2 linked regions of the Lonchura striata genome follow. The protein of the gene in region 2 purifies or fractionates together with the protein of the main gene of each other region. This does not show direct contact. Links are inferred from orthologs where the notes say so. Each region holds a gene or a part of one and is shown on either strand. Other genes may lie near its edges.

Region 1 (7,403 bases), on a different chromosome or scaffold from region 2:
AAGAAAAAATACTACACATATGTAAATCTCCTACAAATGTTTCATGTGAAAAAGCAATGCTGACTACCATGGAAAGGAATTACTAAAAAAAAAAACCAAAAACTAAGAGTTCCTAAACCTTTGGCATATTTTGTCAGTTTCAGGAATTTAACTTCATTCTTCATAGTCTAAATCAGTCCTTTAAAGAACAATGCATACTCTGTCTACACTAAACAGCTCCCTTGATCATTCATGTCTTTGGGAAGAACCTCTCAGATGTGTTTTTCATATCAATCTGTAAAGTTACACAAAGAGGGTTTGCCAGATAACATCGATGGCAGCCATATTGAATTTCTATGCCAGTTTCAACAGTGAGTATAATTACACTTATAAAGCTTGATAGCTTGATAAAAGAAATTCAGGGGCAAGACTGACCTTATAGCATGTATTAAAATTTCTATTGCAGTAGTTGTGCTGGAACTAAAACTTACCTATCTGACCAACTTTTACTCTAAAAGGTACATCCAGTTCACTCTGTAAATTACAAAAATAAAGTATTAAACAGAAGAAGTAGTAAAAATCAGATAAATTTGGATTATATTTGCAAAGTACTGTATTTACATACAGAAATTAAAAGCTACTTCTTTTCTACTGGAAAATCCTAGAAGGAAAACAAGACAGCAGCAGATGGGCAAACTAGAGTAAAAAAGAAGAACTGGACCATATCATATTCCTTTGATCCCTTCTTTTTCAAGCAAGTGTAGGCTACTTCTCTACAAGTGGTGTTTAATACTGACCTCCCTTTAATTACTTTTGCATGGAAATCTAACACATTGCAATTGTAAGGTTGTCAGAACCATCCCTTACTTTATGTTCTTGATTTGGTCTTGGCTCTGGTCAGTCACATACATGACTTTGCATTTTTCTACATCAGAACTGCTGGAATCTGAATCAACCCCCATTAGAAGGAAAGGTGTGTACAAAGTAACACTTCTTTCCTTCCTTGTCTACTAGACATGAAGACATTTGTAGCAATTGATTAGAACTACAACAAAGCCATCAGGAATGGATGAAATAGACAAGCAAAATATGAAATTTCAGAATAACAAAGAGAAGCCAGTGATCAGGTCATATAAAGATCCAATGTGTTTCCAGTGCACAGAAAAGTAACAGTTCTCTTTAGTGAAGTTGAAACCCATTAAATTTTGGAGCAAGATTCCCTCAGTAGTACAGATGTTCATTATCCAAATTAAGGAACATGAAAATCAGCCAAGTAATTTGTTTTTCCAGAAGAGTATGGGAACTTAATGAAAGTTACTTCTGTTTTTCAGCCACAGCTTTTCTTTCTCTTCCAGTAAAATGAGCAAAATTAGAAGCAGTTAACCAAGAACTTACTTCCTATAACCAGTAAAAAAAGAACTCAGTGTATCCTCTTGTGAGACTACAGTGAGCAACATTTCATCCTAAGTCTTAGTCTTTAGACCCATAAAACAAATACAAACTTATTAGTGTTATAAATGAGAATTTATTCAGCCAGATAGGATACTTACTAATGCGTTCTCCTTTATCTGTAAATTGTCAAGTGCCACATTACCTGTTTAGAAAAAAGGGAGAAGTACAGAAAAAATTACTTCAAGTATTACTTATGTTAGAAAAAGGAAGACAACCACAATCCTACCAAGTACTTAAGAATAAAACCTGAAAACATTCCAGTTACACAATAGCACAAGAAACATGTAATTTGTAAGAGCCACTAAACATGGGTTATAGAAAAAATTTCAGTTGGAAGAGATGATAAAAACACCACCAACTTAGATATCAACATGTTTCTACTCTATTAAATACACCCACAAGAATAGGAAGTCTTATTCACTTGGTGTGAATGACAATTGCAGTTCTATCAACATAGGGTAGACTTGGAAAATGGCATCTTGTTTTTCATGATTTCACATGAAAGAAAAATCATGAATCACAGAGCCACAAAAACACATTCCTGTTTTCACAAACACATTAACTTTTCCTGACGCAGACAATGTCATAGGATTTCTAAATTAAACACTGGCACAGAATTATACCTGAGGAAAGCCTATATACCTGTTAATACTTTAATGTCAGTTTCCTTAGAGCTATATTCCATTTCAAGTATAGGTATTAATACTGCTTAAATGCTAAGACACGTACAACCATGACGAGCAAAACTAAGGTGATGACCTACCTACGGAAGGCACCTAAACCAGCCAGCTTTCCTAGACAGTACTTCGGCTGCTTTTCTGCATGACTATAGCATAGCGAACGGAAGTGTTTTGATACATTCAGCGGGAACAGCTACTCCACAAACCTGCACTCCCCGGCTGTTTAACACGTATTATTTACACCGATAACTGAAACACACGGCTCCCCAAGCACTCCATCAGCTGCACCGGCACCAGGGGCACTGCGCCATAAGCCCGCCCACAGTTCCAACAGCACCATCGTGCTTCCACCCAGCACCCGAGACAAGGAATAGGAGAAATAACAGGGGTTTTATCGGTGTCGGCGGTCTCCTCCCTCGAAGCGCTCCGAGGCCAGCGCCGTGCGCCCATGCCCCCGCCCCACAGACCGACGCGAGGGAGAGGTGCCAGGGACGCCGGGCACACGAGGACCGACGGTCCCCCACGGGAGCGGGGACGTGTGCGGCCACGCACCGCCCGCCCGCCTCGGAGGGCCGCGGCCCCGGAACTCGCCTCCTGCTCCCGGGGGCCCGCAAAGCCACCGCTCGTCCCTCAGAGGGGCCGGCGGTCCCGCGGCCCGCGGACCCCTCACAGGGTAACCGCGGCCAGCCAGACCTGCTCCCCCTGCCCCCGGTAACTCCGGCGGCCCGGCGGACACGGAGCAGCAGAGGGAAGGGGCTCCTTACCCCCCCATATGCCCAGCTTGAGCTGAGACTTGTTCAGGTTCTCCACATAGTCGCCCAGGAAGCGGTTCAGCAGATCCGCCACCACTGATTCCAGCACCATGGCGTAGGCGGCCCCTCAGCCGCGGCCGCCGGCTGGGAGGGGAGCGGAGCGCAGGGGAGGGGGCGGCGAGCGCGGCGTGACCCAGCGCGGGCGCGCCCCCGGCAGTCAGCTGACGGGGCGGGGCGCAGCCCGGCGCCCGCCGGGGTGCGGAGGTGCGGGGCGTGGGGGGACTCGGAGCGGCGGAACGGCGGCGGCGCCGGGCGCGGCCAGACCCCGGGCGGCAGCGCAGGATCCCGAGCCCGCCGCCGGCGCTCGGAGCCGCGGGGCCGAACGAGCGCGCGAAGCGGGGCGGGGTCGGCGCGGCGCGCATGGCGCCCCCTTGCGGCGCGGATCCGCGGCCGCAGCCGCCGCTCCCCCGGCGCTTCGCGGGGCGAAGAGACCGCGTGAGGGAGGAGCGGCCGCGGCACCGTCCTGTCACCGGCACCGCGCCCCGGCTGCTCACCCGCGGACGCCGTCCCGGCGCCGGCATCGCGCCTCGGCTCCTCAGCAGGCCCGGGGAGCCGTGCGGGTGGGACGGGAGGCTGGCGGGGGCGCGGGGAAGGCGCCGGCGCAGCCGCCCTCGGTTCCCCTCAGGCGGGTCCCGCCGAGAGCCGCTCGGTTCCCCTCAGGCGGGTCCCGCCGAGAGCCGCTCGGTGCCGCCCGTTCGCCGTGTGGGGCCGCGGCGCCGCCTTTGGGCCCTGCCGCTGCCGGCGCCGTCCCAGGGCGAGTTGTGCACCTCAGTTCACCTGGGACTGGCGGGACCTGCGTGTGCTTAACAGTGTCTTAGAAAACTATTTCTGATTTTAAAACTGGTAATTAAACTCTTTAAATCTAGCAGTTCAGGAAACTCACAGAGGAAGTAAACACAAATGAGAAAAAAATCCCAAAGCCCAGATGTTTTAGAGGTAATAGGACTGCAGAGAAATTACATAAGAACATGCTACTCCGTGCGGTGAACCTGCAGGTAGCAATGTCAGCCCTGGAACAAATTTTTAAATCTCTGAAGTGCTAATCTCAAACTGGTTCTGTAAAGTCATTCTGAACCCATAGGAGCTCAATTATTCATGGAAGTACAGCACTTGATAGCTCAAAATGGCATATTCAGTCTAAAAATGTATTCCAAAGAGCAGAAAACAATATTAGCAATAGAATTCACCCTCAAAAATATGGGAAAATACATCAACACCGCATAAATATAATCACGGTTAGACAAATATTGCTTTAAACAGCGTTCAAATCTATTGTGGATCTTAGTGCAAGCTGATTTTACAAAACCACAAAGCTGAAGGAAAATATTTAAGTTTGACAGAGGAAAGGTCCATCAGCAATTGTTACCACTCTGGTTTTGTTACAGCCTGTGCTTCAGGCTTGCAAACTCCCTCTTGCTGCAGTTAAGGTAAATCCACAGAGCTTTGCTAGGAACACTTTTGACTTTATTTGAATTGTGGATGCTCACCTTCATCAAAATGCATGTATCAAATGCATTTTCAGTTTATCAAACCACAGTAAACCACATAGTGCAGTTCAGAGCATGCAAGCAGCACAAAAGGTTTTATCACCTTTTCACAAAGTGTGAAGAAGCAAAGGGCATACATTATTATTAAATATATATACACATACCTACATATATATATATATGCCTACCTTTATGTTAAATTTACTTGTTTAATTGTTTTGTACAGACTTGGCTTTTCCCGTCAGAGAGAAGAGACAATGGAAGAAAACATGTCAGGAAATTGTGAATAAACTTCCTGCTGCCATTCTATTAGGTAATGATTTTTCATTTGGAATTTTTAAAAATGAAGTTTTGAAATATTTTAATTTCTGTGTATACAAACCACAGCTGAATGACTAAAGCTTAAGCAAAAGTTCTGGTTAATCAGGGACAGCTGTATGTCAATTTAAGAGCAAATCAATGGTAGTAAGTTTTCTCTGTAACAATTATACAATACAGCCAGGATTATATATCCATCTTCTACTTCATTTTTCATCATGCTCATCATTTCTGCACAGGAAAAAACATACTCAAAGAAAATTTAATCACAACTATAAAGGGTGTTGAAAACCACAAAAAGTAGTTTTTATGTAGTTAAATAATATCCTGACTGATCAAAGTGTTGTTCTAAAGAACTTAAAAGAGTTCCATGAATTCATAAAATCATCTGTTTTGAGGAAATGGCCTCAAGTAGCTCCAGGACAGGATTAAGTTGGATATTAGAAAAAATTTCTTCACTGAAAGGTTACCAAGCATTGGGATAGGCTGCTCAGGGAAGGAGTGGGGGTATTAAAAATACCTGTGGATATGGCTCTTAAGGATGTGGTTTAGTGCTGGCTTGGGCAGTGCAGAACAAAAGTTCTGCACCTTTAAGGATCTTAAAGGTCCTTTCCAACCTAAACAATTCTATGTTTTCCAGAAAATGTAGGCATGAGATGTAGTGGATCAAAAATTGGTCCTGAAGGAGTGTGATTTAACCTGGAAAAGATCACCAACCAGTACATTTGTGTCAGATATCCCATTTCAGTAAATCCTACATAGATTTTTAAAAATAAAAGGAAAATAAATGGAATTAAGAATGGAAAACCTGTGAGCAGTTTTATTAGATATTTTATCAACCATGTGTGTGGTTTAAATACTGCAATATTACTTGAAAATAAAGGCACATAGTATTGCACCTCTATTACCTGCAATCCTTTGTTAATCTGCCTGAGAATCTCTTGGAGACAGGACACCACTCAAAAATTACATTAATGTTGTTCTGTCTGTAGGTAGGTGCCATTCCTTGTGTGTTCTCAACAAGAAAAGAAACAGTCCAATATGGGATGCAGGGGAGGGAAACAAACCCAAAACCCCCTCATCCACAAATTATATGTCATAAGAATTCTGTATCTAGGAGAACAAATCCAGGACAAACAGAAGTATTTGCCCACCATTCATTGAATACACAAATAATGTTAATTCTCCCTGGGGAAAACCCAGGCACTCTACTTACCTTTTCCTAATGATTGGTTTGATAAATATGAATTAAATAATTACTTTTACTCAGGCAAAAGTCATCAAAAGCTCATTTTATATTATTGTAGCACTCTGTTAAATATCTGATAATCTGATGATTCCATCACTGCACTAATTTACTAAAAAAATATAAATACAAGATTGTGACACTTCTGTTTGTAGGTGTGCTATTTTATGTGGCAAGATTTGATCAAACTTCTTAGGGAAACCTTTACCAAAACTATGAAGCCTAAAAAAAGACAAGAAATCTGCATTAAAAGTTATCAGTTAGAGCTGAAATTTTATTAATAACTGCAACAACAAGTATTTGTTTAGAGTTGCCTATTACGCAATCCTGCATACGTAAACAAATAATAGCCACAGCAGTTCTAATCTGAGGTGAGTACATGGGTTGAAAGCTCAATAGCCAAGCTTTCATCTCCTGTTTTACTGCATTAATATTATAAAGTCTCAGCTCCTACCCTCTGACTGTTGGCAAGTGAACAGATGGCAAATTTTATCCACTGTACCTCACTAAACACACTGTATGCCTATTAGCAGTTGGGAAATCAGCCAGGTAATGTTGCATCAACTCTCATCACAAAGTCTACAGAGATAAGAGGACTTCGTGATGAGTTAGATCAGGTTGCCAAAAGTCAAAAGTGTTTGGACAACTTCAGAAAATCTCCAAAACCCAATTATGCCACAGCCTCTCTGAGCAGCTAGTTCCTTGTCAACTCTGATTATGTTTCATTCCTTCCAGCTACTGAGGATTTCCCTTGTCACAATTTTGGATTGTTACAGTCTCAGAAGTAACTATATTATTAAAGCACATATTTTTGGACCTAACAAATGGAAAAGATCAATATTCATCTTCTTACCAATTTGTCTTTTGTAAAGAAAAGTTTAGAATGCTCTACAAGTAGTAGTATTCGATACTGGGGTTAATCTTATTTATATTTTGATTTTAAATTTTTATAATAAGTTCATTTTGCACTGATTTTCATTTTTTTCTAAGTAATACACAGGAGATTTCATTAGTGCTGAATGCACTTATAGACAATAAGTGAAAACAAAAGGTGCTTAAACAGTTATGGCAAATACTAGAATAAACACCCAAATTACATGGATTAGAGTAGCAAAATAGTTAAAACAACTGATACTACTTGGAACACTGCTAATAATTAAGACATTTCTTAGAAATTTTTACAACACTTAATCTTATTAGCAGTAAGTAAACCCAGCAGTTTAAGATATATTAAGATGTCTGATGCACTAAGAAGATGCCAACACAGCAATCTGCTTTCCCTTTTCCCTTGTAACAGCTGGAGAGTCTCGATTCTCAGAGAAGAACTGGCATCTGCAAAAAGCTGTGATAGTGTTTCACTGTGTGTCCTTTCTGTGATCCAACAATAAAATATAAAAGACTTGGCATGCACAAATACGTAAGAACTAAA
Region 2 (7,272 bases):
AGCCAACCAGCTTAAGAATTCCATGGGAAAACAGCTGCATCTACGTTATGATTCACCTCAAAAAAGCACATTTTGTGTTAAGGAAATAGGTTGAAACTGTTAGTATGGATCACCTTTCCCTACTAGATAAAGCAACTGCCTAAGTTAGATATTTAAATACTCTGCAGATGCACAAGGAAGCAAACAACAACTTGAGTACCTTCTGCTGCTTCTGGTATGATCATGAGATCATAAAATAATTCCAGATGAGTAAAATGGGCTGGTTTATCACCTGGGAAGTCCAAGTGCCCATTTACAGGCAGAAGAGGAACAGGAGAGCCTTCTCCAAGTTATCCCAGAAGGACCTGGTGCCCCTCAGATGATTCACCCCGCTCCTGCCAGCGCTGCCCCAAAGCTGGCGAGCAAGGACAATTATTCTGGAGGAGCCTCACTGAGATGCACCTCACCCCATGCACTGGAGAAGCCTCTTGGTGCTCACCAACACCTGACAAGCTCCAGGCAACACCTGCAGACCTGGCCAGGGACCCACAGCCTGGCCAGGCCCAGAACCTCCAGGACTCTGTGTGGGCCACTCCTTGCTCGTCACTTTGCTGTGGGAAATGTCAATGTCCCCACAGAGGCACCAACACATCCCAAACCTGCAGCAGGGGCTCTGCAATCTCTTAACAGTATTTTCCCAACAGCTGGAGGTATTTCTTTTCAAGAAAAGAAAGCTCCCACATGATCCAGTGCTGAAGAAGGAGAAAGATCCAGCCTGGAGGATGCACAGGAGCCAAAACCCAGAGTTGCCAGGAAGATGACAAGGAAATTCTCCCTGGCAAAGCTCCAGGGGCCCAAGCTCATAAAGCAGCTGGGAGCAGGGAAAAACTGCTCCCATGGGTGAGAAACATTTAAAATTAATGAAGAATCAAGTGAGTTTGTAGGGGTGGCCCAGTCCTGCTCATCAGCTGCTCCGCACTGGTGCACCAATGGATAAAATTAACACAATTACATCAACACTTCCTGCCAGGACCCCAACCATCCATGAGGCAGCAGCAGACAATAATTATCCTGTGACCACACTCCATTCCTGTGCCCTGGACACCCTGGGAGCCCTCTGGCATGTCTGCAGCTGCTTCAGGGCGTTAGTTACAGCCATTCTGAAATGCAGATCTCCCCTTTTGCTTGTTTTCTAACTTCCCAGTTTTATTAAGCCACAGAGAACAGAATCGTGCATTTGGACAAGGTGAATCCTTGAGCAAAGTATCCATATTCTGCCATACTGTAATCCCTAAATGGAAACAACAGAACATGGAACCCTCATTGCTGAGTTATCATAAGGATTCTGAAAAGGTCTGCCCTTATTTCTGATGATTTTTACCGAAGTGAGTGAAGATACACCTCAAAGGCTGCACCAAATCAATGCGTCCCATGTGGAGCTCACCCAGCTCTTACCTGGCCTGGGATATCTCACAAACACCTGACACCTTCTGAAGCTCCAACTCCACTCCCCAGTGCAGCAGCTATTGCTCTGATTTCCATGAGAGCCATTGAACTACTGCAGTGAAACAGGAAGGGCTGGGGTAGGGAAGAGGTTAATGCACAGAACTGCACAGAAATCAGGTTGTGCAGGGCTGGCTCCTCCAGAGCAACACCAAAGAATCAGCTCCTGCCCATATGGGTCCATTTCAGCACGGGAAAGGTGTTACATTCCCAGAAGAACACGAAAAGGAAACGCTGTGAAGGTGCCTAATGAAAGCGGTGCACAGCACAGCCTCAGGAATGAAGAAAGGAGCTGGAGGTCACTACCTGCAGACACCTGTGCCTTCAGCCAGGGTTTTACCTCTGCGAATTTCCACCATTTCAAACTACTCACTTCGCTTGCCCAAGGGGCAGGAGTGATGTGCCCACACAAGCCTGTCCCAGCCCCACAGGCTGGGCGATGTCGGTGCTCTGTGAACCCCAAGTGCCTCTTCAGCAGCTCCTCCCTTCCTGCTCAGCAGGATCTCCCCAGGGAGCTGCTCCTCAGGCCTCAATTCCGTAAAATCCCTTGAGCCATCAATGGGAGGCTGAAACCACCATTCCTCAGAGGCCACTTTTGGTTTTGTTTCTTCTTCATTCCACTGAATCATCCTCCAGAGCAAATGCCTCAGCTCCTCCAGGAACGGCTCTTTCCTTCCAGCTCCCTGGGTTATGAACCAGCACCTGCCACTATGGAAAACCAGTGGAGTTGCCAGGATTTTCCCACAGCTCACTCACTCCTGGAGGGAAAACATGCAGGAAAGGTGGGGATCCCATCTTACCCCGCCTCAGGTGCCACTGCCAGCTGCACCAGCACAGCACGGACAAACCGAGAGCTCCGGGATGATGGAGCATTCCCGCAGCAGCGCTCTGCCCAAGGAGTCTTTCCCGTTTCCCACAGCAAGGCAGGACAGAGTGGAACCCGCTCTGGGCAGGTCTCAAAGGGACCAGAACCAGGGGAATGGGGTGACGAAGCAGCAGAGGGTTCAGGAGTTTGGAGCTTCCTCTTCCCACGAGTTTAATCCTCCCCTCCCCAGCCAGGGGGAGGACGCGCTCCCCCGGCAGCGGTGAGGGTGTGCGGCCTCGGGACACAGGGTGTGAGCTGCATTGCTGGGACACCCCGCTACCGGGGCGGCTCCTCTAATCCCGGTGCGCACGGCGGCGGCGGGAGCACACCGGGACACAGCGGCACCGCATCCCAAATCCAGCGGCTCCGGGCCCCGCCGCGTGCGGCCCGTGGCTGTGTGGCTGTCACCGCCCGCCGGGCCCCGCCGCGGAGCCCCGGGGCGCCGCCGCTCGCGGCCGGCCCGCACCGAGCACGCCGCCCGCGGGGCCGGCCCGGGCGGGGACCGACCGCAGCTCCGGGCCCTGCCGAGCGCCGCGGCCCCGGGCCCTGCGGCACCCGCAGCCTCGCCGGGCCCACCGGCAGGGACAGGGGCCGCCCTTTCCCCGCCCGGGCCGCCGCTCTACCTGCGCGCCTCCTCGTCGCTGTCGGTCTCGCCGGGCCCGTCGGGCGCCGCCATGACCACATCGCACTCGGCCTCAGCCGCCGCCGCCGCCATCTTACCGCGCGGGGCTGGGCCGGACCGGGGCGGGGCGGGGCGGGGCGAGGGCCGGAACGGGCGGGACCTCCGCCGGTGGGGCGGGCCGGGGCCCGACCGGCAGGGGGCGCCCGCGGAGGAGCCCGGCGGCGGCATCGGGAGGGGCCGGTACCGGGAGGAGGGCGGAACTTGACCGGGCGGTGGGCGGAGCTTGCGCCGGCCACGCCCCCTCCCGCCGCACGGCAGGGCGGCGCTGCGTGCCGCGGTCCGCCCGCCCGCAGGGGGCGCTGCGGTGCCGCCGCGCGCCTCCCGCCGCCGGTGAGGCTCGGCGGCCGCGGTGAGGCGGCATGGGCAAGAGCTGCAAGGTGGTGGTGTGCGGGCAGGCCTCGGTGGGGAAAACCTCCATCCTGGAGCAGCTGCTCTACGGGAACCATGTGGTCGGTGAGTGCGGGTGCGGCGGGCAGGTCGGGCCTGGGCAGGGCTGTCCGCCCCGAGCACCGGCCGGGACAGCTCCCGCGCTGGGCCGGGGCCGGGCCCCGGCAGCGCTCGCAGCGCCCGCTGCCCGCCCCCGGCAGGCTCGGAGATGATCGAGACCCAGGAGGACATTTACGTGGGCTCCATCGAGACGGACCGCGGCGTGCGGGAGCAGGTGCGCTTCTACGACACGCGGGGGCTGCGGGACGGGCTGGAGCTGCCCAAGCACTGCTTCTCCTGCACCGACGGATACGTGCTGGTCTACAGCACCGACAACAAGGAGTCCTTCAAGCGTGTCGAGTTGCTCAAGAAGGAGATCGACAAGTCCAAGGACAAGAAGGAGGTGAGTCCCCCCGCAGGAGGATCTGCTGCCGTGGGGCAGGTTCTCACCTTTGGTTTCTCCAGCCTGTCACAAGGTACTGATGGGTCCCTGATCTGTGAGACTCACAGGAGTAACAGGCTGTTCTCTGGGATGCTCTCTGAGTTTACAGGTGCTCAGAAGTTCCTTCCACTCTGGGGCTGGTTTGGGACACGCAGACCCTAGCAGGTGGGGAAGGGAGCACTGAGATCATTGGATTTCAAAAGGCCTTGACATGGACAGGGCCAGGCCCATCACTGAGGGTCTCCGTGGCAGGGCCAGGCCCACCACTGAGGGTCTCCATGGCAGAGCCAACCCTGCAGCTGTGTTTGGTCGTCAGGGGCCCTTCTCAACCTTTTGGAACAGGTCACCATTGTGGTTTTGGGCAACAAGTGTGACCTGCAGGAGCAGCGCCGGGTGGACCATGATGCAGCCCAGCACTGGGCCAAGGGCGAGAAGGTGAAGCTGTGGGAGGTGTCCGTGGCTGACCGGCGCACGCTGATCGAGCCCTTCATCTACCTGGCCAGCAAGATGACACAGCCACAGAGCAAGTCTGCCTTTCCCCTGAGCCGCAAGAACAAGGGCAGTGGATCCATGGATGGATGAGCCTGCTTCCCCTTCCCTTCTATTGCCACCTCCTCTTCCTCACCTTCCTGCTTTCCTTGCACCCACCTCCTGCTGAGTCCTGTCTGTGTCACAGAGCCTGTGGGAAGCAGGTGGCAGGAGGAACAATCATCCCAGGGCTAGGGATGGTCCTGGCAGATGAGAGAGGCAGTGGGACAGGAGCCACTCCTCTCCCTGCCCAGCCCCTGCAGCTGTCAGAGGTGCTACAGGAAGGTCAGGATTCACTCAGTGACCCCCTCTGCTCTCAGGTACAGGCTGGGAGAGTGGAACAGAGGCACAGCACAGGCTGGCTGGAACGTGGGCGTCAGCTCTACATCTGGAGGGAACAACTCCCTCTTTTTCTATTTCCTGATAACGTGTGGGCAGAGCCTGTTTGCTGACCCTGCCTCCAGCCAAGCAGCTCTCCTTGCCCTGCCCCAGCTGGCTCTGTGCTGCTCCCTGGCAGCTTGTCCCTTACCCTGGCAGTTTCCACTGCTCCTTTATGCACTGGAATATCCCGACATGCTGCACCAGGGAATGCCTAGAGCAGGGCAGGTGCTGTTCCTGAGGGCAGGGTGCCCAAATCCACCATTCCAGCCCTTTTCCTGAGTGCAGACTCGGCCATGAGCTTGGAGGAGATGGGGTTGTGCTTTACCTGCATACCTAGATCCTTGGAGGAGCTGGGACTGTACTTAGGCTGCACACTCCAGATGCTTTGGGCTATGGCAGCTCTCACTGCCCACCTGTCACAATGCTGCCTCCTCTCAGAACCACCATAAGACAAGGCACAGGTGTCCCAGCCCTACCCAGCAACGCTTGTTCCCTTCAGGTAGTCTGGATGTAGGAAAAGAACTGATGAAAAGCCCCAGTGTGTTTATACTTGTTCTTTTATTTACTGAGTAACACAATAAAGCGATGAGATTCGATTATCAAAATATTTTCCTTTTTTTTTTTTTCCCAACAGTTATAGTACATCAAAAAAATATACAATGAACATTACAGGAGGGTACTGGCCAAGTCCCTAGAGTCTGGATATTCCATTTTGGGCTTGTTTTGTTTTTTTTTTTTCTGGTGTTTTGAATCAAATTTCACATCACTCCAAGGTTATTTACAGAGGGCACACATTACCGAGCGCTATGGACTATCCCTACTCCTAGTACAGCATGTGCTAAGTCAAAGGCAGTAAATGCTTTGGAGAGCAGGAGGGGATTTGGGGGGATGCCATAACGGGGGTTTCTTACGCAGCTCATTGCAGTATTATTGTTACTAGAAGGAATGGCTTTCACAGGGTTAAAGTGCCAAGAACTGGTGAGGGGCAAGGAGCAGCCGTGGCTCCAGCACAGGCTTTTTGGAACAATGGAGGGGAACAGGCCCACTGGTGCCACGCGGCTCTGCAAGCTGGAGCCCAGCTGCTCCAGGCTCCCCAAGCTTCTGAGGGGCTGGGCACAACACCAGGGGCTCATGGCACAGGAGGGGACCCACTGTCCTGCTGCGATGGCTGGACTGGGGGTGACCCCAGGGGCTGGGAAGGGCACAGTGAGACGGGCAGGAATGGCTGGGGGCACCCCGGCCACGGGCTGCTTGGCACTGGGGAACGGGGACAGCGTCCCTCCTGTCCAGCCAGCACAGGCTCCTGTCCCCTGGGATGTGGGGTCCTTACGTGTCCCCTGGGCTGTGGGACCATCTCCCTATCCCTGGCCTCCCTGCTGGGAGCCTTGTTTCCCTCAGCTGCGCTCCAAGCCACATATCCCACCACTGCTGCAAGACCTTTCCATTGTCTGCATGTACAGCTGCTCAGTCTTCTCTTGGTGCCCTCTCTCTACTCTCCTCCTTCCCTGAGCAAGGGATGCCCTGAGCAGCTGAATTCATACCCAGGGGCTCCCTCACTCTCCTGTCTCTGTGGCAGGAGTACAGTGGTGGCTCCACAGTAGGTGCTACCCTGCAGGTGTGTGTGTGCTCCTTCCTGCAGCTTTCCTGCCCTTGCCAAGGCTCCAGGCCTGGCAAGCAGATCTGTTTCAGGCTCCAGGCCTGGGAAGCAGATATGTTTCAGCCATCTGAGTTGCCCATTGGCCACTTCCTGTTCAGCTCCCCGTGCCAGGACCCATCCTGAGCATCAGTGGAGCACGCTGGGCAAAATCCTTGTGAAATCCAGGCGCTGCTTATGGCCAAGACGTCAGATATGTGTGCTTGTGCGTGTGGATTCCCAGGTGCACACACCAACCCGCCTCCTCCCGAGGGCTGGGAGGGAATGGGAGTCACAGCAGAGGTCTGAACCAGGGTCTGAACCCTGGGCCAGGGATGGGACAGAGCTCAGCGTCATGTTGGTTCTTCTGCTGCCACCACTGCTCTGGCTGCAGGGATGCATCAGCACCAAAGGGAATCGCAGGCGGCCAATGCGGCGGGTGAGCTGCCCCCTGTGGGGTTGCATAGATCGGGGTGGGGTGTTCCTCCAGCGAAAGGTCCATTTGGGATGCAACTCTCTCTATGTACAGCAGCGTGCTGGGCACCCAGAGCGCCGCGGTGACAGTCCCAGACAGGTCATGGTCGGGCTGTCTGAGCACAGTGAAATGCAGAGCTATGGCCTTGGGGTCCCTCCAGAGCCTGGCACTCCGCAGGCTATGGGTGCACCTGCCACCTGATTGTCCAGGCTGCTGAAGACACCTTTGATTTCGGGAATCATCAGTAACTTCCTGGAAGCTCCTAACTGGGATGGGATTGGAGGGCTGTGCACGGCAGGTGAGCAGCAGCATTGCCTTTCACTGGAGAACTGAAAGTGCTTTAGGGACATTCACTCAG

What was found. Proteins that work in one complex are often made in the same cells at the same time.
Region 1: the proteins of DNAJC7 (region 2) and VPS13C purify together in Homo sapiens (co-immunoprecipitation; 4 studies listed by BioGRID and IntAct, counting the BioPlex papers as one, with this or other methods). This does not show direct contact. The link is inferred for Lonchura striata from reciprocal best matches to the Homo sapiens genes DNAJC7 and VPS13C.

Annotation. Positions count from the first base shown.
Region 1 is NC_134613.1:8,225,526-8,232,928, reverse strand, and holds the start of VPS13C (intermembrane lipid transfer protein VPS13C), read right to left. Parts: upstream 3,076-7,403; 5' UTR 2,976-3,075; coding exon 2,876-2,975; intron 1,574-2,875; coding exon 1,530-1,573; intron 514-1,529; coding exon 471-513; intron 1-470. UniProt on the Homo sapiens protein: Mediates the transfer of lipids between membranes at organelle contact sites. Necessary for proper mitochondrial function and maintenance of mitochondrial transmembrane potential.
Region 2 is NC_134627.1:6,513,758-6,521,029, reverse strand, and holds the start of DNAJC7 (dnaJ homolog subfamily C member 7), read right to left. Parts: upstream 3,099-7,272; 5' UTR 3,063-3,098; coding exon 2,971-3,062; intron 1-2,970. Other genes in the region: NKIRAS2 (NF-kappa-B inhibitor-interacting Ras-like protein 2), read left to right, coding at 3,389-3,482, 3,617-3,858, 4,240-4,479. UniProt on the Homo sapiens protein: Acts as a co-chaperone regulating the molecular chaperones HSP70 and HSP90 in folding of steroid receptors, such as the glucocorticoid receptor and the progesterone receptor.